Linked DNA regions of Xenopus tropicalis. The protein of the gene in region 2 purifies or fractionates together with the protein of the main gene of each other region. This does not show direct contact. Links are inferred from orthologs where the notes say so. Each region holds a gene or a part of one and is shown on either strand. Other genes may lie near its edges.

Evidence for each region. Proteins that work in one complex are often made in the same cells at the same time.
Region 1: the proteins of stx8 (region 2) and vamp8 purify together in Homo sapiens (co-immunoprecipitation; 5 studies listed by BioGRID and IntAct, with this or other methods). This does not show direct contact. The link is inferred for Xenopus tropicalis from reciprocal best matches to the Homo sapiens genes STX8 and VAMP8.
Region 3: the proteins of stx8 (region 2) and stx12 purify together in Homo sapiens (affinity purification with mass spectrometry; 3 studies listed by BioGRID and IntAct, counting the BioPlex papers as one, with this or other methods). This does not show direct contact. The link is inferred for Xenopus tropicalis from reciprocal best matches to the Homo sapiens genes STX8 and STX12.
Region 4: the proteins of stx8 (region 2) and vamp3 purify together in Homo sapiens (co-immunoprecipitation; 3 studies listed by BioGRID and IntAct, with this or other methods). This does not show direct contact. The link is inferred for Xenopus tropicalis from reciprocal best matches to the Homo sapiens genes STX8 and VAMP3.

The regions. Positions count from the first base shown.
Region 1 is NC_030679.2:125,650,181-125,656,514, forward strand, and holds the start of vamp8 (vesicle-associated membrane protein 8), read left to right. Parts: upstream 1-1,893; 5' UTR 1,894-1,916; coding exon 1,917-1,931; intron 1,932-6,334. UniProt on the Homo sapiens protein: SNAREs, soluble N-ethylmaleimide-sensitive factor-attachment protein receptors, are essential proteins for fusion of cellular membranes.
Region 2 is NC_030686.2:49,472,208-49,478,087, forward strand, and holds part of stx8 (syntaxin-8), read left to right. Parts: intron 1-1,365; coding exon 1,366-1,467; intron 1,468-5,880. UniProt on the Homo sapiens protein: Vesicle trafficking protein that functions in the early secretory pathway, possibly by mediating retrograde transport from cis-Golgi membranes to the ER.
Region 3 is NC_030678.2:83,637,413-83,643,854, reverse strand, and holds the start of stx12 (syntaxin-12), read left to right. Parts: upstream 1-2,001; 5' UTR 2,002-2,022; coding exon 2,023-2,116; intron 2,117-6,442. UniProt on the Homo sapiens protein: SNARE promoting fusion of transport vesicles with target membranes. Together with SNARE STX6, promotes movement of vesicles from endosomes to the cell membrane, and may therefore function in the endocytic recycling pathway.
Region 4 is NC_030683.2:101,172,892-101,179,341, forward strand, and holds the start of vamp3 (vesicle-associated membrane protein 3), read left to right. Parts: upstream 1-2,009; 5' UTR 2,010-2,054; coding exon 2,055-2,056; intron 2,057-6,450. UniProt on the Homo sapiens protein: SNARE involved in vesicular transport from the late endosomes to the trans-Golgi network.

The DNA.
Region 1 (6,334 bases), on a different chromosome or scaffold from region 2:
GTGGTTTATTCGGTAAGGCATTTGTGTGGCACTAGCCTGTGAGTGTGTGATTGCACTGGGCAGTTGTTTGTTAAGTAGTTCTGGCAAAGAAATAGTGACTGTTATGAAGGGCTCATTTTAACCCAAAGAGTCTCCCTGCTTGCCACTAATACACACAGGACCTCAGTGTCAGACTGAGATGCCAGGGGCCCACCAGAAAACCCTGAACCATGGGCCCACTCTCAAAACATTAAGTCCTCCTCTCCTCCCTCAAACTCTTTATTATTCTAGTCTCTTTTCTCTACATACTATACTCTATTCTTCCATCCATCAAGCTTCCTTGTTCCCATACAGAAACAGGGAATGGCCATGAAATAGGCTAAATAGTTAGAAGCAAGAGGGGCCACTGACACCTGGGCCCGCCGGAAGTTTTCCTGGTATCCTGGTGGGCCAGTCCAACTGCAGGACCTAATGGGATTTTGTAGTAAAATATCAACCTGCATATTACATTTTATCCCCCTTCAGCATTCGTAGACAGTTTTTAGCTAAATTCCATTTAGTGTGGCTATACCTGGCCAACGCAACGAAGCAATATGAACTATCAGACCGAAAATCTGCCCAGTGTGGTACTAGCCATAATGAATGAAATGGAAAAAGAATAAAGGGGAACTATCAGGTGGGTGTCTGGGCTTAAGGGACCATTAACACTACACTGTTTTTCATACAACTAAATATAACTAAAGTTATTGCTACATATCTCCACTAATGGAGAAAACACCACAACTGTTCTGAACCACTGTGAAAATACAATTTCAGTTGTGACAGGACAGGAGAATAAACCACAGCAGGGGTGCAACTACAGAAGATCAAACCCTACAGTTGTTGGGGACACAGGATGTATAGAGGGCCCATGGTCACTGACTGATAGACAATTTCATTTCATTCTTATCTGAAATTATGGTCGCCACCTTTGTTGGTGGCGAAACCTGAAAAAAAGGGTGGGGCAAATGACATCAGGGGTGGGGCAGTGATGCTGGGGGTGGGTGAGATGACATCAGAGGCAGGCACAATGATGTCACACCAGGTTATGATGCCAGAGCAGGGTTTTGCATCACTTACACACAACTGGCTGCACTTCTGTCCAGTTCTTTCAATGGCTCAAACCGGACAGACAGTTTTGAACCAGACAGACCTTTGAAAACCTGGGATGTCCAGTTCAAAACCACAAGGGTGACAACCCTAGCTCTATCTATATTTTTGCCTGATGAGTAAGTCCAATCCTGTAATTAAAGGAATGGAACCTGTTACACAGAAATCAGTTATCCAGAAAGCTCTGAAGTACCGCAGTGCTAATTTAGAAGAATGATGCCTTATTTCTGACTTGCTTTTTCTCTCTGTAGTAACAAGAAATTGTTTTTTAACTATTAATAGAAAAAAAAAATCATGTTGACTATCTTAATATTTAAATGTTTTTCATTTATTGGCCAGATTATTGTTAAGGTTTTACAAGGCTAAAAACTGAACAGTTAAAACCTGAACATGCCTTAGAGTTTAGCTGTAGCTTTGCTCAGGGGCACAAAATATAGTTATTCACTCTTGGGTTGTCAAATGCCACTGATGGGCAGGCTCAACAGAATTATAGAACATAACCCGTTTTCCTTTGAAAACTCTGTTCTAGGGACTCTGTGCCTCACAAACAGCACCTGTTACTTTCTTTTTAGCAAGGAACGACTATTGTGAGGTAAACTGTCCCCATTGGGGCCCCGCCCACAATACCTGGAGGAGGGCCCTCCCACTAGCCCTGCGGGGAGGGGAGAAGCAGCGGGGCCGGAGGTGGGAGGGAGAGCAGCCCGAAGAGGAAGGATCGCTTTCATAAGTCACAGGCAACAGGAAGAATAACAAATTCCCCTTAAGCAGATTCAGAGGGACAGACAGCCATGGACAGGAGGCCGGTGAGTGGTTAAAGGGAGGAGGGGGAGTGTAGAAAGTTAGTACGGTCGGGGCTGATAGAAACTTGGGGACCCCCAAATGTTGTTGCATTGAAAAACTTAGGTTGGAACAACTTTCTGCGCCTGAGCTCTTGCGGAACTATAACTGCTACACTTCCCTGGCAGCTCTTGGTTGGGGGGCTGGGAGTTATAGTTTCCATAAGAGGGTCCCTGGCAATGCAGGGAAGGTGGGGAAAGTGTTGCTGTGCCGGTGAGGGGTAGGGGCAGGGAGACAGAAGTCGGGCCGGTAGCTAATGCTTAGGGCAATGGAATGAAGTTGGGGGGGGGGGGGCGCAGGAATGTACCATTGTACAGAGGGAGACAGGAGGAAATGGCGTTTAGCAATAAGGGTTTGAGAAGGAGAGTGCAGAGAGATTAGCAGGACGGGCACATGAAGGAGATTAGATCCCTGTTGGACTTTGGATCGGGCTGTTTACTTCCTACTGAGGATAATGACAGACTGGGGGAGAGGGGCATGGGGGAACAGTAATGTATGGAGGAACAGTAATGTATGGGGCTTCTCTGGGCCACTGGGGATGTGGATTATAGATCAGAGCCAGGGCATTAGCTAGGAGCCCCAGCAATAGGCAGCCTTTATATGTTATTGCATCTTCCTTTTGAAGGGCAGTTTGTGGTTAATAAAGGAAATTGCTTGTGTACTTAGTTTCACAGTACTGGGCGGTAATGGGCTACCAAGTGCAAAGTTTGCTCCACTTCTAAAAACCTATAGGGACCAATTAGTAGGGGCATTTGCTAAAGATAAATATGATTGTTTGCTAGGGGTTACTGGGGCAAACTTTGCACCTGTTATTACATTAACCCTGTATTGCTGAGTATGTATGGCATGAGTATCGGTATAAAAAAAGTTATTTATCCATAAAGAAAAAACTTCTAGGGATCCTGTAATGTTCAGGCAAGGGGGAAACTGGACTATACAAAGGCTCTTTATCCTCTTGACTACATATTAACTGCTGGCTCTGTAAGTTCATTGATTTGGGCAAAACATAATATTTTCTGTAGTATCAGATATTTTGTGTTATTTGTTTTTCTGCTGTAAAAATATATGGCGCAAACTAGGGAATGAGCAACGTGTGGATCTTAGCATCTTGCTGGGTGTGGGGGTTGTAGTTTGACAACATCTGGAGGCATTTATTATGAATTTGCATCAACTGATGAACATAGGTAAATGTGTGTTGTATCTTGTGGCATTTGCTCGTGTCGGCACCATAATTTATTGGGCGCTTTGTTATTAATCACTAATGGTTACCATTGTGCCATGGCTGCACCTGTCGGGACGTGTGTACAGCTGGGAATTGCACAGACGCAGTGTGAGTGTGCAGATTCCTTTGCATTGTGTGTAAACAGTGATTCAAGTCTTCAGATTCCAATAATGAATATAGGGTGTCAGTCATCATCTCTCTCTCTAATCTGATCAGTGCCCGGCCCTCCTCTCTGGGATTCAGGCAGTGCATGGGTTAAGCAGACATTTCAGACTTTCCAGGACGCAGATAGGTGTGTACATGGGATGACGTCGTCAGGTTGGCTATAATTGTGACAGTGACACATAGGCCAAGGAGGGTGCTGTAACCCTTATCTTGCGGGAGCCGGGATCAAGTTAATGATGTCTTTCATTACCAACTGTCTTGTCTGAGAAGCTAGAAAAGTGCCGGCTTTCTACTGAATCCCAGGATCAGAATCCTGGATTTGGTGCACGCCTAATACTTCCCCACCAGGCTGCAGCCATAGAGGGGCGCTATAGCACAATTTCATGCAATGTTTAATTACTGCGCAACAGTACTGCTTGCCTAAGGAGCGCTATATGAATAAAAATATACATAAATACAAATTCTTCCATCTGGGGAAGAATAGAATAGAATTTCCTATTCTTAGTAAATTTTTAGTTGGTCTTCATTTTTTTGAGTTATTTGCATCCTCTTCTGGCTCTTTCCAGCTTTCAAATGGGGATTTGGCAGCCAAAACACTATTGCTCTCTGAGGCTCCAATATTATGGTTACTTTTTATTTCTTATCTATTCAGGCTTGTATTCATCTTCCAATCTCTCTTTCATCCCAGTGGCTAATTGCTAGGGTAATTGGACCCTAGCAACAAGATAGCTGCTAAAATTTCAAACTGGGAAGCTACTGAACAAAAAGCTAAATAATTCTAAAAACAAAAAAAATGTCCATAAACCATAAAAAGACCAGTTGAAAATTCTCACAATATCATTGTTTAAATCATATTCAGTGTTGGTTTAAAGGGGAACTAACCTTTTACCACTAGATCCTGAAACTTTTCCAGCCTGTCCCTCTCTCCTAGGTGTACATTTAATTTACTAACCTCTGTGCAGATCACTTTCTTCCTTTATAACGCCCTAAGTCATTGACATTATATTGTAGCTCAAAGAATACTTTCTCATTTTTTGGTATTTACTGTACTCTCTTGTGTATTTTATTCTCTTCTCTGCATCCTCCCTCCCTAGGCAGCGAGGCTGATCCCTAACTATTATCAGCTGCACAAAGCTGTTATTATTGAATAACCTGTTTGTTATTAGCAGGTTCTGGGGGTGCGGCCTAAGAGTGTGTGCGTCATTGTCTTGAGGACGATGCAGGGGAGGAATTACCGAGACAATCCCTCATAGAACAAATGATATGTTTAATGCAGTGATTCTTAATCTTTTGTTTTTTAAGGGTATTAAATTTTGTTAGAGAATTAGCCACATGACCCAAAAACTGATTTAGAAACATTTGTGCCCCTCATTTTCATTATAATTTCTATTGTAATAAATAATGTCACATTCTAAAGGGGCTGTTCGTGGCCAACGTCCAACAGCATGGGGACTCATTCTGGGATGTAACCTAAAGGAATTTAAATAGAGACTGTACTTAAGTAACAAAGTGGCCTGCTGGGGCCTTTTATTAGTTTGTATAGGGGGTTTTCATATCTTGGCCTGGACTGGCAATCTGTGGATTCAGCCAAATGCCAGAGGGGCTGCTGTAAGATGCCATAGTCAGTCACTATTTATTGGGCTGGTAGGGGGCTGTTTGGGCCTCTGTGTACTTGGAATTCCAGGGCCTATTTTGACTCCCAGTCCAGGCCTGCTTGCACTTGATGAACATGTGTCTATATATATATATATATATATGTATTAATATTTTCATATTTATAGGGTATAGGAATTATATATCCCTATAAATAAGTGTATAAGATTTTATAGTCATTATATTATAAATGGAATGGGCCTAAAATGTGAGGGTGTGGTAACACCCTAAAGATCCATATATGTACACTTTATCACAGTATGGCTCCAAAATTCAACTTATGGAGTTCAGATTGCAGTAAGCTCTGCCACAATTTCCTGCTAAAGTTAATTTGCTTAAGCAAATCTACCCAACCAAATCTAGATGTGAATAGCCAACTTTAGGACAGTGGCTTACAGGGTTGTTCACCTTTGAGTTAACTTTTAGTATGATGTAGAGCAGGGGTGCCCAGACTTTTTAGCACTGCAATTGGCTCCTCCCTGTGTACGTACACGACGCAGCATACATATGCACACCACATAAAAGTGCCGCATTTCAAGGCTTAGACGCAGTCCAACAGAAGTCCATGGGAAATCGACTGGTGGACCGCCATCAACGTTTTGGCCACCCCTGATGTAGAGAGTAATTCTGACTTTTTGTTTAGCAGATTTCCAGTTTGTAATTTCAGCAGTTATCTGGTTGCTAGGGTTTAAATTAACCTTAGCAATCGGAGTGGTTTAAATGAGAGGCTGGTAGGAGAGGACCTTAATAGAAAAATAAGTAATAAGAAGCAACAGTAACGATAAAATTATAGCCTCACAGAGCAATAGTTTTTTGGCTACTGGGATCAGTGACCCCCATTTGATTGTTGGGAAGAGTCAGAAGAAGAAGGCAAATAATTAAAAAAACTAAAAAAAAAAAATAATAAAGACCAGTTAAAAAGTTGCTTAGAACTTGGCCATTCAATAACATACTAAAAGTTAAATCAAAGGTGAACCACCCCTTTAAGGTGGCCATACACGTTGGACCTCGCCAAATGAGTGGATCTTTTCCCAATATGCCCACCTAAGCCAGATATTGTTCGAGGAGGCTTGTAGGGCGTCAGGCTGATAACCTTCCAAACTGGTGTAAAGGACTCGAATCAGCAGCTTAAATCTGCCCGTGTATGGCCCCCTTAAGGCAAGGCAGTCTGCATCTGTAGAGAATATAATGTTAAGGTGGCGATTTGCAACCGATGGTCGCACGAAAGATCGTTAAATCCGCCACTAACCTTCACGGCTGAAACGGCAGATAAGGAGGTAGAAACAATAAAAAAACAATCTAAAACAATCTACCTCCTTCTGCCAATTC
Region 2 (5,880 bases):
TTGCACCACGTGAGGGGTTTTGTGCGAAGGGCTCATTTGCCTCATAATATTCCAGTTTGACAGGGAAAATGCCCCGGGGGCCCCACAACAAACACGGCTGCACTGTGTTACCTGCAGGGGCCAAACGGAACGTTCCATGGAAGGAATTCTCCCTCGGCCTGTGAGCTCACACGTCTGAATTCCACACCTAGCGTGCCTCCCCGGGGGTGGGGGGCGCTATATGGATATATGGAACCCCCCCCTGGTGCTGCTTCTACCTGCCCAAGGGGCTTCTGGGGCTACTGTGAGACCCCCTTTGGGTCAGGAATAGAAATGGGGGGGCACTATTTTGATATATGGAACCCCCCCCCCGGTGCTGCTTCTACCTGCCCAAGGGGCTTCTGGGGCTACTGTGAGACCCCCTTTGGGTCAGGAATGGAAATGGGGGGGCGCTATTTTGATATATGGAACCCCCCCCTCCCGGTGCTGCTTCTACCTGCCCAAGGGGCTTCTGGGGCTACTGTGAGACCCCCTTTGGGTCAGGAATAGAAATGGGGGGGCACTATTTTGATATATGGAACCCCCCCCCCGGTGCTGCTTCTACCTGCCCAAGGGGCTTCTGGGGCTACTGTGAGACCCCCTTTGGGTCAGGAATGGAAATGGGGGGGCACTATTTTGATATATGGAACCCCCCCCTCCCGGTGCTGCTTCTACCTGCCCAAGGGGCTTCTGGGGCTACTGTGAGACCCCCTTTGGGTCAGGAATGGAAATGGGGGGGCGCTATTTTGATATATGGAACCCCCCCCCTCCCGGTGCTGCTTCTACCTGCTGAAGGGGCTTCTCTGGCTAATGTGAGACCCCCTTTGGGTCAGGAATGGAAATGGGGGGGCGCTATATAGATATATGGAACCCCCCCCGGTGCTGCTTCTACCTGCTGAAGGGGCTTCTGGGGCTAATGTGAGACCCCCTTTGGGTCAGGAATGGAAATGGGGGGGGCGCTATATGGATATATGGAACCCCCCTCCCGGTGCTGCTTCTACCTGCTGAAGGGGCTTCTGGGGCTTATGTGAGACCCCCTTTGGGTCAGGAATGGAAATGGGGGGGCGCTACAGTAACAGGGGGCAGTTATTTGCCACAGCCGGGGCTTGTAAATCTGCTGTGGGGTAGTGGATTCAGGGAAAGGATTATCAGCAGAGATGGTACAGGTATATTGGGGGGTGTTTGTTGGAATCCTACCTTCCCAGGTGTTCTTGGCACCCCCCGAGCCAATGGGGCACAGTTATATAGGGTGTAACTAGGGGTACAGACGGCCCCTTACCCAGCTATAGATTTCTAATAATAATAATGGGGCGCAGTGCTTATTGGGGTCTCCCCTCCTCGTTACAGAAATCATCGATGACGTGAGCGCCTTGGTGGACACGACCGACTCCAAGATCCGCAACCAAACCCGACACATCAAACTGGTGGATGGGAAATCCGGCTCCTGCGGTAGGTGCCAACGCCAATAAGTGGGGTCCAATGGGGCCGAATTGGGTCGTGGGTTCTGGTTCTGCAGAGGTGACTAAACTTTCCCAGCATCCCCATGAATCGCAGCTTCCCGTAGGGGTGTAGTTGAACTGCAGGGCTGCGCCAATGACAGGAGGATCTGGGTTCCCACGGGGAATGTGATGGGAACAAACACAATGAATTCACGGAAAGAACAAATCCAAGGACAGATATAGCGGGGGCTTATTTACCCCATGTGCCCCCCCTGGCTGGGTTTAACCCCTGTACATGCCGACTTAGCACAAGCAGAAGGGATTCTCACCCCCCCCCCGTATCTGTCTGGTAATTGCCCCCCCAGGGTTGCTCTCTGTGGCCCCAGTTCCACGCTGTTGGTCTCTTTGTTACCCCGCACACTGGGGGCAATCGTTAGGAATCCCCAAGCCCAGCCGTTCGTGCTCCCGCTGACCGCGCAGGGATTAAATGGCAAGGGGGGGCCCTCCTCCCTCCAATCCTGAAGTGGCCGGGGGGCACAAGGCTAAGTGGATTAAGGACACAATTAGTTTCGTTGCTTTGATTTGGGGGGAGATCAAGGTCACTTCTCCCAGTTTGAGATCAAGGTCAGACACAAGGGGCCGGGGGGGGGCAAATGCCGAGACAAAGCGTCCCAGCATGCCATTGTGCCGGCCCTCCATGGGTGGCCCCCGGGGTCAGAGCGATTGGTTTCTTAGGGAACCACCAGGAATCAACCCAAAGAGGGTAAATAACTCCCAGGTCAGGAGTCTGTATCATTGGCCTCCAGTAGGGGGGGACACTGGGCTGTGGGATAGACTGCAGAGCTTGCAATCAAGAGCTTTGCTTCCCTTATTGATATACAGACAGATACCCCGGGGCCCCATACACGGGTCTCTGTATCATTGGCCTCCAGTAGGGGGGGACACTGGGCTGTGGGATAGACTGCAGAGCTTGCAATCAAGAGCTTTGCTTCCCTTATTGATAAACAGACAGATACCCCGGGGCCCCATACACGGGTCTCTGTATCATTGGCCTCCAGTAGGGGGGGACACTGGGCTGTGGGATAGACTGCAGAGCTTGCAATCAAGAGCTTTGCTTCCCTTATTGATATACAGACAGATACCCCGGGGCCCCATACATGGGTCTCTGTATCATTGGCCTCCAGTAGGGGGGGACACTGGGCTGTGGGATAGACTGCAGAGCTTGCAATCAAGAGCTTTGCTTCCCTTATTGATATACAGACAGATGCCCCGGGCCCCATACATGGGTCTCTGTATCATTGGCCTCCAGTAGGGGGGGACACTGGGCTGTGGGATAGACTGCAGAGCTTGCAATCAAGAGCTTTGCTTTCCTTATTGATATACAGACAGATACCCCGGGGCCCCATACACGGGCCAATAAGCTGCCGGCGTTCTATTGCTCTGTGGCCCCCAAGCCGAGATCGTGGCTTTATTTATACATTACTGTGTGACATGGAATTTGGGGTGTAAGTGTTTATTATGGGGGTGTCTTTCCCAATCCAGCCCCCACGCACAGCAGCCCCCCTGCTAAACTATGTCAGCCTTCCAGCCTAGGGCCCCAGAGGCTCTTAAGGGCCCAAACAGGGCAGTAGATAGAGGCGGCTCCTCCACTATATTCAGCCAATAGAAATGAATGGCGCAGGGGCCACATTGGCCTCCTCCCTACGGATTAAAGGGGAGATAAGCCGGGCACCTGGATGCCAACCCCAGTTCTTACTGGCATTTAGAGCCCCCATTCCTGGCATCGGCCTATGACTGCCCACATCCCCTTCTGCCCAATAATGGAAAATCACTCCTTATTGGCTGGGCATTGGCGTAACCTCATTGGTTATGGGGCTCAGCTAAATACCCCCCTGCGTGCCATTATATGATGCCAGGAATGTGGGCACCTTGGGTAAGAGCAGCCAGGGGCACTAAGGTGCCAGGATAGTGACTATCAGGGGAGGGTATAGGGGCCCCCCCATATGACTGATCAGTGGGTCCCTATATCTATGGGCAACGTCGGACCTTCAAGGGGGGGCTTAATGTGAAATTCTGTGCTGTAGGGAAACTGAGTTGGTGGGGGGGTATTGGGGGGTTGATTGAGCAGTAGGAGCCCCCCCAGCCCGCGATATACGTTGCCCGTATTGATGGGCAGAATTCCCACGCTGCCCCGGTTAATCCCAGCTCAAGTGCTTTGCCCCCAATATAGGAAGTGGGCACTGCCAGCATGTGGTATAACTGATGGGCTGTAACCCCCCCATTCCCTTCAGCTCATTAACCCCCCCCCCCCCCCCCCCCGGCTAAACTGTCTCACAGCAGCTTTATTTGCCCAATAAACCTGCACTTCAATGGCCTTGGAAATGCCTCCATTTTTCCCCGGCGGCCTCCTAGTAACGGGGCAAACAGAGGGCCCCCCAGCCCGCGCCGGGGGGGATATGGGTGCTCATTCCACGTCCCGCTGCCCCTGACAGCAGGGACCCTTTATTTGCAGATCCCAGACCTTTGAGCCCCTCGGCTATTGTTCCCCCCCGGCGAGAGCTCCAAGCAAAGGATATGAATGTGTTCCAGGGATCAGCAAGTCCTCGGAGCCCCCCGGCGCCCCCACTCCAGCCCCGCTCGCCCCACTCTGGCTTTTCATACGCTCTGTTTGCAGAGGAGACCTGGGGGGTCAGCGCGTTGGATGAATGCTGGGCACTCAGTGTCGGATGAATAGGGGGGGACGCGGCGCGGCCGGCGGAGAATGATGGATCACCCGGGAGACAGAGAACAAGCCGCCCCCCCCCCCCCCCGCTGATACCCCCATTTGTTTCTGTGTGTACAAACCTCCCCAGGGTCCCTGTCGACTCTTTCACTGCTGGAAGAAAGGTCGCCCCCCCCCCCCCGGGGCTCACTTTGCTTTCATAAATGATGGTCGGAGAAGCTTACAATCTATCAGAAGCTGAAAGGCAGAGATGGGGGGGTTGGCGCAGAGTTGGGGGGGTTGGCGCAGAGTTGGGGGGGTTGGCGCAGAGTTGGGGGGGTTGGCACAGAGTTGGGGGGTTGGCGCAGAGTTGGGGGGGTTGGCGCAGAGTTGGGGGGTTGGTGCAGAGATGGGGGGGTTGGCGCAGAGTTGGGGGGGTTGGCGCAGAGTTGGGGGGGTTGGCGCAGAGTTGGGGGGGTTGGCGCCCTCAGAAGTCGCCCCTTGACTCCTCGGTTTCCCAGTTATTTCACTTTTATCCCCCAAAAGGGTTTGTTTCACCTTGAAATGAACTTTATAGTGAGACCGAGACATTAAAGTGTCACCCCAATACCCCCCCCGGGGGCACAGCCCTGGCACCCCTGTCTGAGGCCTCACTCGGGGGTCACTCCACGCAAACGCCCTTTATTTCTACCCTGCGCTTTAGGGCCACATGGCTGCCCAACAATAAGATTTAAAGGGTAACTTAACCCAATATTAGCGTTTCAGTAATAATTCCCAGCTCATTGTGTGGGTGTGTGAGCCCCCCGGAGCCGATGGGGGGTACCAGCCCGTTGGGTCCCAGCGCCCCAGTGTATTAGTGACCCGGCACATCTGGGGGGGTCTGGGCCTGGGATGGAATTGGGGAGGCGCACAAGGAGCCCCATTGTTCCCAGTGTATGGGTGAGAGGGCCCTTCAGAGCCCATTCTGTTCCCAGCACAAGGGTGTGTAGTGCTCGCCATTTACTGGAGGGGAACGCAGGCTGTTTCTGGAGGGGGCTCAGTAGCAACAAGCGGGGGGCTTCTCCCTTCCTCAACAGGGAATCTGAGCCCCTATTGTTCCCTCGCCGGCAAAAGTATCTCTCCTGCCTTTCAAGTAGCTCTGAGCTGCGCGGAATGTGTCGTGCCTCCAAAGTGGGGCAGCTGGGAGCCCGTTCCCTGCCCCCACTACTCTCTGCCCTCTATCCGCATATCCACTACTCTCTGTACTGTCTGCCGGGAGCCCTCTCCCTGTCCCCACTACTCTCTGTACTGTCTGCTGGGAGCCCTCTCCCTGTCCCTACTACTCTCTGTACTGTCTGCTGGGAGCCCTCTCCCTGTCCCCACTACTCTCTGTACTGTCTGCTGGGAGCCCTCTCCCTGTCCCTACTACTCTCTGTACTGACTGCTGGGCTCCCTCTCCCTGTACCTCCCCTAGGGGCGCGGGGTGATTGTACCTCCCCTAGGGGCACGGGGTGATTGTACCTCCCCTAGGTGCGCGGGGTGATGGCACCTCCCCTAGGGGCACGGGGTGATTGTACCTCCCCTAGGGGCGCGGGGTGATGGCACCTCCCATAGGGGCGCCGGGTGATGGCACCTCCCCTAGGGGCACGGGGTGATGGCACCTCCCCTAGGGGCGCGGGGTGATGGCACCTCCCCTAGGGGCGCGGGGTGATGGCACCTCCCCTAGGGGCGCGGGGTGATTGT
Region 3 (6,442 bases), on a different chromosome or scaffold from region 2:
ATGAACACAAGTGTGCAGTACCAAATTTTTGTGTGTGCAAATTGAACAGCTGATGATACTCTATAATAAGTAGTTCATAAATAAAGTTAATGTGTTAGTTAATATAAAGAGTTAATTAATGTGCTAATTAGCGGTTATCTGGGTCAGTGGATTTTGCTGTAAATTTCAATCCTACACTTCTTCCTGCTCTTGCTCTGCACTGCCATTACTTGATGCATAAAATACATAAACTGCGTAAGTTTAAGGGCCCAGTGATCTTGCTGTGGGGCCCAATAAATAGTCAGTATTAGTTCTTTGAAAGTATCGGACGTTTTTGCATAAGTTACATAAATTGTGTAAGTGTAGGGGCCAAATGATATTGCTATGGGGCTCAATAACCAGTCATTCCACTGCTGAAAAGTTCATGTAGGAGATGCTCATATAATTCAGTAAATGAATCCCAATATAAACAGCTGATGTTACACTATAACATAATTAATATAAATACATAAAATAATATGCCAATAAGTCAGCAAGTCAATTGGGAAGGGGGCAGTGGAATTTACCTTGAGTTTTTTAATTCATTGGTGGTCAGTGGAGTTGGCCTCTGCCAAGTTTCTTTGCCTTGTCTTTACCTTGATACACAAGGTAAGTAAGTTTCTAGGCAGTTTTTACGGAAGTTACACAAATTGTGTACGCTTTGACGGAACTTCATACGTAATAAACAATTTTAATAACTTTGGCAACACTGCCAGGCCCACCATCAGAAGATTATTTCACCGAGCACTGCACAACAGTACCCCTCTCCCCCTGACGGTGGCTCTGAAAGAGAGGATGATAATGGGATGGGAAAGAGGAGAGCAGTTAAGGGGTCTTTTTTTAAAAATTCCTGGCGCACCTCTGCTAATTCAAACTACCGTATTTCTACCTCCCACACACACAATACTTTCTTAAAGATGATTCAAAATGCAGTGACGCAAAGATTTTTGCGTGGCACAATACTCATCACTTGCCTCTGTAAGAACAGTAATCCCTAACCAGTGGCTTGTGAGCAACATAGTGCTCGCTAACCCTAGATGTCTCTCCAGGGGGTCTTAAAGCAGGTGCTTGTTTTTTAATTTTTGGCTTGAAGGCAATTTTTAGTTGCATAAAAACCAGGTGTACTGCCAAACAGAGCCTCCTGTATGCTGCCAGTCCTCATAGGGGCTACCAAATAACCAATCACAGTTCTTATCTAGCAACCCCCAGAAACATCCATACATAAAACGCTGCTATCCACTGGCACTGATGGACTTACCAAACTGCCCTCCCTCAGCATTCAGAGTTCCCAAGAAGTCCAACAGATATTACACATCGCCATGTCCAGACTGGGAGTCAAAATAGGCCCTGGCATTTCAAGTACACAAGAGGTCCAAACAGCCCTCTACCAGCCCAATAAATATTAACTGTCTATAACATCTTACAGCAGCTCCTCTGGCATTTGCCAGAACCCATAGATTGCCAGTCCCAGCCTACACATCACTCATATATAATTCCTGTATATATCACCTTGCCCTTTAACAGCAGCCTTGAACATACATATCACACACTATGCTTCAACTGCTTACCTGTTGTACAGGTAAACAACATTTTACTAAAGATCACAATACTTGTCCCCCATGTGCACCCAGCATATTTCTCATCTCCCTCCATTAAATCCAAGTACTAGGGGTGTAGGGAAAAAAAAATAATTAGACCCAGCAATTGCTCCAGGACCTGGGATATTAAGTACCCCATCCTCCAAAGGCGCACTTGCTGATTTTTATAAACCAGCAGAATTCTACATTTGCATTCCTTGTTCTCTTTAAAGGAGTGGCAACAACAGCATCTTTTCCAAGCTGTCACGTGGTATCATGACTGGGAGGCGCTTATCGCTGATAGGAGCCTGACAATTCCTACGTGACATCACGGTCACATGGCTATGACATCACGACTTCCTTAGAGTCGCTTCATCCCACCATCTCTTATACTCAGAAAGGAGGACGGGGCCCTAAGAGGAGCAACATGTCTGGGTACATGAAGCAGCAGAGCCGTGCCCGGGACTTCAACAGCATTATTCAGACCTGCAGCGGCAATGTGCAGAGGATCACAAATAACAGTCAGTATCCCCAGTTTTTCTACAGAGCACCGGTCCTATTCCTGTATATATATCCGTGATCGCAGCGAGCTGCACACACCCGCAGTATATAGATGGGGGTACTGGTGGAGATTTGAAGGACGAATTGTTAGCCATTGGCAATGGGAACTTTTGGACAACAGAGATTAACATGTTATATGGGCCCCTTGTATTATGTGTAATTCCCAGGTGCTACACACCCACTGATGTACAGGAAGGGCGGCTATACTGACACAGCTGGAAATAGAGAAAATTATTTATATAGCATTGCATATATGGAGACTGGACAGTTGGCAAATGACAAAAATCAACTAATGTTTCCTTGTGTTGGTTGGTGGGTGGGTGTACAGTACAGCAGCTATCAGCTGGCATGTTCATTGGCAGAGGGGCACAGAGAAGCAGGGGTGACAGGCAGGAAGGGAGCTAAGTGCAGTGGGAAGTCATTTCCTACTGGAGATTCCTGATTGGGTTACTGTTACCAAGAAGTTACTACTGTTAGGCTTGTCACCTGGTTGGGCTCTTGCTGTGGTTAAACTACACATTACAATATTATCCTAAAGGCAGCATTTGTAGAAATGTAGTTCAGCAACCAGTGAAATCAGGCTGAGCAGTTTTACCCTCGCTTACTGAATTTGTGTTGAGTGGGTTACATTCCTGCCTTACTCCATGGGGGTTTTTTGTTCCCCCCTAACTGCCTGATCACTGCTTTGCAAGCTCAGAGAAAATTTTGGGCGTGGGCACAAGCAGGATTCACCAGGTCAGGCAGGGGCCATGAAATTGTAATATTTCCTTCCTCCCAGCATGACAGCAGGATAGGAGTTCATAATGTGTGATTTATCATGTTGAATGAATGAGACTTGGCAGGAAATATGTATTTTCTTGTATATCATTATGTATTAGATTCACAGTATTGACTTCTGCCAATCATTACATACCCCCAGAAGTAAGTAAATAAATAAATATGGAGTCTTGGTACTACTGGCCTCTGTTCTTCAAGTCTATGTGTAGTTTCATTCTTAAACAAGTGTTCAGCTCTTAATTAAAGGATGCCATGGAATAGTAGTAAATACGTCATAAGAGCAATTTGTCACTCCCTCTATTTGGACTAGACATAAGACATTTACTATCCAAACATACCCATTCCTTAACCATCTTAAAGGGGCATCTTTAACAAAATTACACTTTGCCTGTTGGTCATGTTAGGTTTAGTAAAGTAAAGGAATTTGGGGGGAAAATACCTTACATTTTTACTTGTTAAAAATCCTATGTTTCCGCTTCCATTTGAAAGTGAAATCACATGATTAATGTCCTTAGTCTAAGAAGGCAGCAGTCAGTCCTGTCTTGCTTTATAGCTGAGAATCTAGTTATCTTTATAACAGAACATTCATTGTACTGTGATTCAAGCAGGCTTGGACTGACATGGTATTTTTTTTTAAAAAGGTTTTTTTGAGATGATAGTATCTTAATTATATTCAGTATTTTTAATGAGAAGTGGTAAATGTGCACTCCATGTGAGAGCCTCTAATTAAAAGTGGATATAGCAAGGACGTAATTCATGTAATGAGATTTTTTGTTCATTGTTCACTATGCTGCTGTTTTTCTTTTTGTAATTATAGACTAGCACAGTGCAGTGTTTACAGGAAAATTGCTGCTGTCCTACAAATGACTGTTATTGTATGTTTTGGAATGGCCCAGTTATTCTGCACTGATAACAGCACACTGCTGAGATCTGATAACTGTGTTTTCAGCTTCTCGGTATGCTGTCAAGGTGTGTTGTTGTGTCATACTGATATAAGGTGCACTGTTGTCATGAAGTGCGGTACAGGTTGAAGTTACATAGTCTTTTTCAGATAGGTAATGTTTTATTGGGCATGTTCAGCAAATATAATTTATACAGAGACTTTACAGGTTTTCACAGGAATTTGTTGGTGAAAAAGGTTCCTTCCATAACCTAAAGCTTTAACACTGAAGCCTGGCATCCCCCTACCCCCTTTACTTACCTGTGGCACTTGTCTAGTCAAGGTTGATTTAAACAGTACTTCCAGCCTTGTCGGGTCAGTACCACACCCAAAGCCCAACATCTTCAAAACAGCAGCCATTTCTAAAAAAGAAGTTGAAGTCTGGTACAGGTAAATAAAGAAGGTGCAATATTTTAGTTGTAACTCATTAGAGATGGCCTAGAAAAGGAATATCAATAATAAATATAAATTTCTATTAAAAAAAAAAAAAAACACAGGTACAGGTATGCGACCTATTATCCAGAATGCTAGGGACCTGAGATTTTATGGATAAGGGATCTTTCTGTAATTTGGATCTCCATAGCTTAAGTCTACTAAAAGATTATTTAAAAATTAACCTCAATAAGCTTGTTTTGCTACCAATAAGGATTAATTTTATCTTAGTTGGAATCAAGTTCAAGTAACTGTTCTGTTATTACAGAGAAAAAGGACATTTAAAAAAAATATTAGAATTATAGGCTTATAATGGAGTCAGTGGGAGTCGGAACTTCCTGGATAAGGGGTTTCCTGATAACAGATCCCATACCTGTACAGGTTTGGGATCAGTTATCTGGAAGACTTCAGACCTGGGGTTTTCCGGATAAGAAGTCTTCCCATGATACTGATCTCAGTACCTTTTTTAAATTTGTTAAAAGGAAAAAAATAATCTGCTACCAACATGGATTTTACTAATTTAGTTACCATGCAAGTACAAGGTACTGTTTTCTTATTACAGGCAGTATGGCCACTTATGACCCACCCCCATTCTGGTCGAATCATTGGAATACACAAGTACAGGTGATTTTCACAAAGACCACCCTTGAAAATATGCACAAGGATTTCAGATGAGAATCCCATTATAATCGCCAGTAATAGCTTTTCCATATGTATTATGGGGCTATAATATGAGTCTATTTTTACACTCTTTAAAGTGAAGATAAGTATGCTGGTTACAATTTCTGCCAACTCCTCCTTGCAAAAATTTTCCAGATCTTTCAAATTTCAAGGGCATCTATTGTGCACAGCCCTCTTCAGGTCACCCCCAGATTTTCATTCAGATTAAGGTCTAAGCTCTGGCTGGGCCATTCTGGAAAATGTATCTTTCTTTGGTGAATCCATTGCTTTGTTGATTTAGATGTATGCTTTGGGTAATTGTCATACTGAAAGGTAAAGTGTAGGGAACAACCAGTACTTGCCAAGAAATCCAGCAGCTCCTTTAATGTTGTTGAAGGCCTCCCTGACCAGTTTTCTCCTTGTCTTCTCATCAATCCTGATCTTTGTATAGTCACTGTTGAGCTATATTTTCTCCTCTCGTTGATGACTTCACCATGCTCCATGGAATTTTTAATGATTTGGATAATTTTTGTACCTCTGTCCCCATTGATACCTTTCAATGATGAGATCTTTCAAGTTTTGAAAGTTTTTTGTGGACCATGGCTTTTGGAGTATGAGACCAGGAAACCTTATCTGAGCTCTATCAGAGCCACTTTAATTGATGTCAGGTATATACTAAGTACTGTTTGAGATGAGACTGAATGTGATTAGTTGATTCTGAATGCAGCCACATCCTTGATCATTAAAGGGTGTGCACATTAATACAGCCAGGTTTTTGTATGGTTTTCCTTTCACTAAAATGTTTGATTTGTTTTCAGCTTCTTTGTATAGATGGTAATTTTGCACTAAATGTGGAATAATTTCTCACAGGATTTATGTTTCTTTTTTTAATTAAACAAAAACCTGCCATTTTGCAGGGGTGTTTTGGCTTATATCCAGTGTATGTAATGTGTGAAACACTTGCAAGGTGCTTTTCAGCTATATAGTTTGTGTGTTTGCCTAGTTTATCTTCTTTTAGCGGAACTGATAATAATGTAATGGTAAAGGGCTGTAACTGTATACAACGCATATAATATGCTGCTAATATTTCTTTTAGAGATGCTTATTAAGCCAGTTGGAAAACCTGTAGATTGTATAATTGTGCATAAGTTGCTGCCTCAATACATTTCTTAATTTGTAGCAGTTACAGTTTGTTTAAAGATCTAGTAGCTCTAATAAGTGAAAATAATTCATATTCATTCTTGTCTGAAAATTCACTTTTGCATTTTTAGGGAAGAATTCAACTTTTAGATGATGACCACTGACTACAATGGGTGCCAGCAGACTTTTTGAGTGTGTTTTAAAATGTAGTGGGCGAAGAATGAGAAAATCACTGTGTACCATGGCAGCATTAAGTAATTTAATACTTATGTTGAATTTGTCAACACAGTCAACTCAAATAAGCATTGCTAAACATGGAGAATAGTTGTTAATTTAC
Region 4 (6,450 bases), on a different chromosome or scaffold from region 2:
TCCTGGACAAGTCCCAGCATAGTTAGTGCACCTATAATGGCTGCATTGCTTGCTTAAAGTGCTTTGAGTCCCGCTGAAGAAGTGTGCTATATAAATCATACCCCTTGGCTCATTACTGTAGAGAATGTTTTGCTAGGTTTTGTCTGTGCTTGTATAATACATATACACTGTATTGCATATGGACAGTTAAGATACAGACATTAATACAAATGATTACCTGAGGCAGTGTTGCCAAAGTGTGCCAATGGTGCAGGTGCAAGATACTAAAGGTGGGCATACACTACAAAATCTGCTCACTTAGCAAGGTCACCAAACAAACAAATCTATGCCCACCTTGGGGGGTGATATCATGCTAATTTGATCAATTGGCCCTAAGGGCTCTGGCACACGGGGAGATTAGTCGCCCGCGGGATGGCAGACGCGGCGGCGCGATTTCGCGCAAATCGCCGAAAAAGAATCGCCCCGCCGTGTCTGCCATCCCGCCGGCGACTTACATGTTCGCCGGTGGGATGGCAGGGGTAGGCAACTCGGGGAGATTAGTCGCCCGCGAACAGGGAGTTTTGCCGCGGGCGACTAATCTCCCCGTGTGCCAGAGCCCTAAAGCTGGCCATACACGTGGCGATCTGACGATGTTTCATGCGAAACATTGTCAGATCCGCCACACACCGTCAGGGCTGAAACAGCAGATAAGGAGGTAGAAACAATAGGATTTCTACCTCCTTCTGCCGATTCAGCCCTGACGGCAGATTTTGGTCAGGCGCCTTCTATGGCGCCCGATCAAAATTTTCTAACCTGGCCAATCGGCGAGTCGTCCGATATCAGCAGCTTCCTGCGATATCGGTCGACTTGCCGACATGCCATACACGCACCGAATATCGTACGAAACAAGGTTTCGGTGCGTGTATGGCCAGCTTAAGGCCAAACTATAACATGAAAGGGATACAAAAAGTCAAGCCTGCACCATCCGATCGTCATCTGGACGATTTTTGGGCAGCTATTGGTTGGGGATGCCTGTCAGAGGGCCCCATACATTGACAGATAAGATGGCGAATTACTGTGAAGAACCCGAATTGGCAGCTTTAAGGTGCATGGCCACCTTTATAGAATTGCTAATATCTTTTCTACCAACCACCTGATATCTTTCCTATCCAAACTTCCCCTCCCCAAAAATCACCTACAATTCCCCTCTTCCTTCCTAGGAGGCGTGGCTAGTCCAGGCCCACCCATGGCAAACTTTGTGTGGAACCTACTGCAGAGGAGAGTGGGTGGGGGCTCTCCAGGCCATGGGACAGGACACCTGTTTACTTGGGGAAGCTGGTTATAATAATTAAATTAATTTAACCTGCAAATAGTTGCAGTCTATATACATATTTATATTGTTTTATTTCTTCCTTAACCTCAAAACATTTTAGTCCGCAGCTTGGCCAATGTTATTAAAAGAATAACTCGTCTCCTGGTCAGGTTTATATAACGGTGTTGTAAGAATTCCATATGGATTTAGTTTGTAAGCTTTATTTGACTACTGAGGTAAATGATTATTTCTGTTACTGCGCTGCAGGCTGCATAGCTATAAGTGCAATGTTCTCAGCTACCATTTATACCAAAGGGGCCCCAGGGAGGCTGTGTGCCCAGGCTGAATACTCTCTAGTTAAACTTTAGAAGCGTTCCCCTAATGTCGCAGCAAGAAACACATTAGACTGCCCGACACGCCTAGGGCCCCCCGCCGCCTCACACTATTCTGAACATAACCCTTGCGTGTGGAATTTCGCACGCCAAGCCCCCATGCCAGTTCATTGGCGGGAATATCGCAGCGGTTTCCGCCGTTCCCCGAGGGACAATTTAACAAGACAAAACCGGGAGCGGCTGTGCCACACACGTGACCTGCTGCTCAGCTGACAGCGCTGCACCTGACGTCATTGATGCTGGCCACGCCCTGAGTTGCGCTGGCCACACCTCTCCCGGCAGCGGAACTCTACGGGATTGCGGCTACACAAGGCAAAAACGCCCAGCGGAGTAAAGTCGGACCGGTGTCCTGCAGTATCTAGCCTGTCAAAATGTAAGTGTGCCAGTAGTGCTTGGGGGGGGCTGCCTTTACAAGTTGCGGGGAACGCCCTGCCCGGTATCCGCCCTTAGCCCTGCGCTACCGAGCGGGGCCTGTGAGGCGTAGAGTTTGGGCGCAGAATGTGCTATTTTGTCCGTACAAAGTTGTATTTAGTTCGGCCGAGAAGTTTGTGCATAGGCTTATAGGGGTGTTTGACAGGGGACACAAGTGCCCTATGGCTTTAAAGGGTAAATACAATTACAATAGGCGTGTAATGTTTCAGTCTGCTTTCTGAACTCCTAGCAGTGTCGGACTGGCCCACAGGGATACCGGGAGAATTCCCAGGGGCCCTCCTGCTTCTAGCCATTTGGCCTAATTCAGGGTCCTTACTTATTTTTCTATAAGGGAACAAAGCAACTAAATATATAGAAAAATAGATTATAGTCTGTAAAGATAAAGAAAAATAACTTGGAATATATAGAGATAAGAAATGGATGAAAAATAATTTGGAGGGTGGCCCCATGGTCTAAGGCAGTGATCCCCAACCAGTGGCTCAGGGGCAACATGTTGCTCCCCAACCCCTTGGGTGTTGCTCTCAGTGACCCCAAACCAGGGAGTTATGTTTGAATTCCTGACTTGGGGGCAAGTTTTGGTTGAATAAAAACAAGATTTACTACCAAATAAAGCCCCTGTAAGCTGATAGTGTGCATAGAGGCTACCTAATAACCCTTATTTGGCTCCTCCATGAACTTTATGGTGCTTGTGTTGCTCTCCAAGTCTTTTTACATTTGACTGTTGCTCACGAGTTAGAAAGGTTGGGGATCCCTGGTCTAAGGTTTTCTGGTGGGCTTTTAGCATCCCAAGTCCGACACTGACTCCTAGCATCTAATGGGATGGGAGTTGTAGTACAATAACAGCTTGTTGTTACATTACATAATATGACTTCTGTTAGAACTCAAAATAGACTTAATGGCTCGCATTTGTATTTACTGCTTCACAAGTCTTGACTCATTTTAAGAAATGGTTCTTAATGTGAATGTTCTGCTGCAGCACATTGTTGTTTTACGGAATTTATGTTGTTCAGATTGGGTGAATTTCATCAGCAGATAGGTTTCATTTCAAGTGCATTTGCTACATGTCACAGGGTAGGTTTTGACCACCATTGTATCCTGGTGGGGGTTTAAGCCCCTGAAATCACCCACGCCTGCCTCCCATAGCAACCAGAGGAAATCACCCTTGTGATGGCTGCATAGGCTGAGGATTTCTAATACATTACTATGGGAAGTGGCAACCAGCAAATTTATCAGATATTGGTCTAAGAATCATAATAAGGAACTTGTTACAGTTAGGTAATACTATTTAGGGTGAAGACACACAGAGCTACTAGTAGCAGCTACTTGTCATGGCTACTAAAAAAGGCTGCTGATCATTTACTGATAGTTATCTCTACATGTGTTAGGGCATTAGGGTATTTTCTGGAGTTTAGTAGCCTTTACAAAGTAGCTGGTACTAGTTGCCCATTGTGTCTTCACCCTTAAAGGAACAGTAACACCAAAAAATGAAAGAGCTTTAAAGTAATAAAAATATAATGCACTGTTGCCCTGCACTGGTAAAACTGGTGTGTTTGCTACAGTAACACTACTATAATTTATATAATAAGCTGCTGTGTAGCCATGGGGGCAGCCATTCAAGCTGGAAAAAAGGAGAAAAGGCACAGGTTACATAGCAGATAACAGATAAGTTTTATCTGTTATCTGCTATGTGCCTGTGCCTTTTCTCTTTTGAATGGCTGCCCCCATGGCTACATAGCAGCTTATTTATATAAATTATAGTAGACTTTCTGAAGTAAACACACAGCTTTTACCAGTGCAGGGCAGCAGCACATTATATTTTAGTTACTTTTATACAATTTCATTTTTTTGGTGTTGCTGTTCCTTTAAGTATCCAGATTATAACCCATATAGATACACTTGGTCAGTGTAGCAGATCTCTTCCAAACTGACTGAACATTAGGATGTAGCCTTTAGGTGACGTATTAACTTTTTTGTGACCCCAGTAGGTCCCTTCTTTCTCTAGAGAATTGCAGATTGCTGATAGCATAGCTCAATCCAATTGGGAACTCTTTTTTTGTGTAAGTCATTTATTTCAGATTCTTCTGATTAATATAATGTAACCGTATGTTGTTAGAGAGGAGAATGCCAGGGTTACACCCAAATTATTTACTCAGAGAAGGGCCAGCAGCAATAAAACAGCTTTAAACCCATTTTTACCAAAAAGGAGAGGAGCTGATCTGCACGTAGATCCCAGTAATTACCCTGGCACTAAGGAGAAGAGAAAGTGTAGCAGCTGCCTGTTTCACTTATGATCTACAGCTGCAGACCAGAATATTGTAATAAAATTATAATTATACACAATTTGTAGATTATAAGCTCTTTTGGGCAGGGCTCTCTTCACCTCTTGTATCAGTTATTGATTGCTTTATATGTTACTCTGTATGTCCATTGTATGAAACCCACTTATTGTACAGCGCTGCAAAATATGTTGGCGCTTTATAAATAAATGTTAATAATATACTGTAAGTTTTGCACTATGTGCACTTATTGCTCAAAGGTCTTTACCTTTGAGCAATAAGTGCAAAACTTACAGCAAAGTTTCTGGTGAATTCCATTCAGATGTTGGGGGCTAATGACTCCCCAGACACTTTTACATTTGATGTGCGTGTGTGTGGAGTTTGGGAGGCATTCTGTCTCAGAGGCTGATTATATCAGAGCTGCAAAGTGTCAATAGGCCAAGTGAATCCCCAGTGGCACCAGTTTGCTTTTAAAGGGGTTGTTCACCTTTTATAGGAGAAGGAAAGGTAAAATCACTGGGGGGTGCTAAAATGTTAGGCACCCCCTAGAGATTGTAATTGCTTACCTTATACCCCAGGTTGGTGCTCCTGTGAGGAGAAAACCCCACCAGCCCGGGGTAGCTAAGAACAAGCGATCCTCTTCCTCCTGTCTACTTTCTTCGTGATCCCGGGGCCAACGCATGTGAGGTAGAGGGAAAAGGCCAGCTTTGTTGTAAAAGTTTGGGTTTTGACTCTACTGCGCAAGCGACTCAAAGACAAGAAGAAGGAAGAGGATCAGTCTTTCGCTGCTACCCTGGGCTGGTGTGTTTTCCTCCCCAGTGATTGTACCTTTCCTTCTCCTTTTAGTAAGGTTTAATTGGTTTTCATTATTATTATTTTTTATAGTTGAATTATCTGCCTTCCTCTTCTGACTGTTTCCAACTTTTAAATGGGGATCAATGACACCGGCAGCTTAAAACTATATCTTTGTGGTCATGCAATTTTATTGTCATTGTTAATTTTTAATACTTAATCTTTCTATGCAAATCCTCTTCTATTCATGTTCCCAACTCTTACAAACCACTGCCTGGTTGTTAGGGTAAATTGCATCCAATAGCAACCAGATAGCTGCTAAAAGACCAAACTGGAGAGCTGCTAAACACAAAGCTAATTAATTGGATTGTGACTAAAAATATAGTGTTTGTGAATGTGATAGGGATCTTAGATTGTAAGCTCCTCTGGGGCATGGCTGATGCAAATGATGTATAATTTTTGTAAAGTGCTGCAGAAATATGTTGGCGCTATCGAGGAAATAAATAATACATCCAACAGGTAGGATCTGATTTTGGACATGCTTGTTGGATTAATTGCCCCAGCATTCAACCAGCCAGCATGCAAGACTTTTCTTTTGAACCATAATTTTTATTTCACTATGAAATTTCAGCAGTGGTTTGATTAATAATGTTTTACTGTGGCCTTTGGAATCAGATAGTGGCATAATATAATTTAGCTTTACAGTTTCCACTAAGAAAACATGTGATGTGGAGATTACATAAGAAAGCTTAGAAGAATTGCTTTTGACCATGTGCATATCTGCTTTTTATATGCAATTGCTGCCATTTCAACTTCTTACAAATAAAATCGTATACTAGAATGTACCCTGGGCTGCAATCGGGCAATAGCTTAGCATAACCTTACAGCCGAATCTGAAATATATAGCAAATTATAAATATTGATGTGTCTGTAAGTGATGTGCGAGTCAACTTTTTTGCTGTGAAAAGCAAACATTTTTGTATCTATGTTAGTAAATAAATTGATGAAAGTCAGCAAAGGCAATTCCCAACATACCCCAACAATTGTACTTACCAACATCTGGAGGCACAATTAACAGTTACAAAGTTGGGTTGGAAAAAAAAGACCAAGGTTCATCAAGTTCAACTGCTCCAAATCAACCTATGTACACATACTTAGACAGCCTAGACAGACAGACACTTGCATATATAAAATATGTATATGTTTGGCACCCGTTATGTGGAAACTCGTTATCCAGAAAGTTCAAATAATTCACATTTTTAAAATT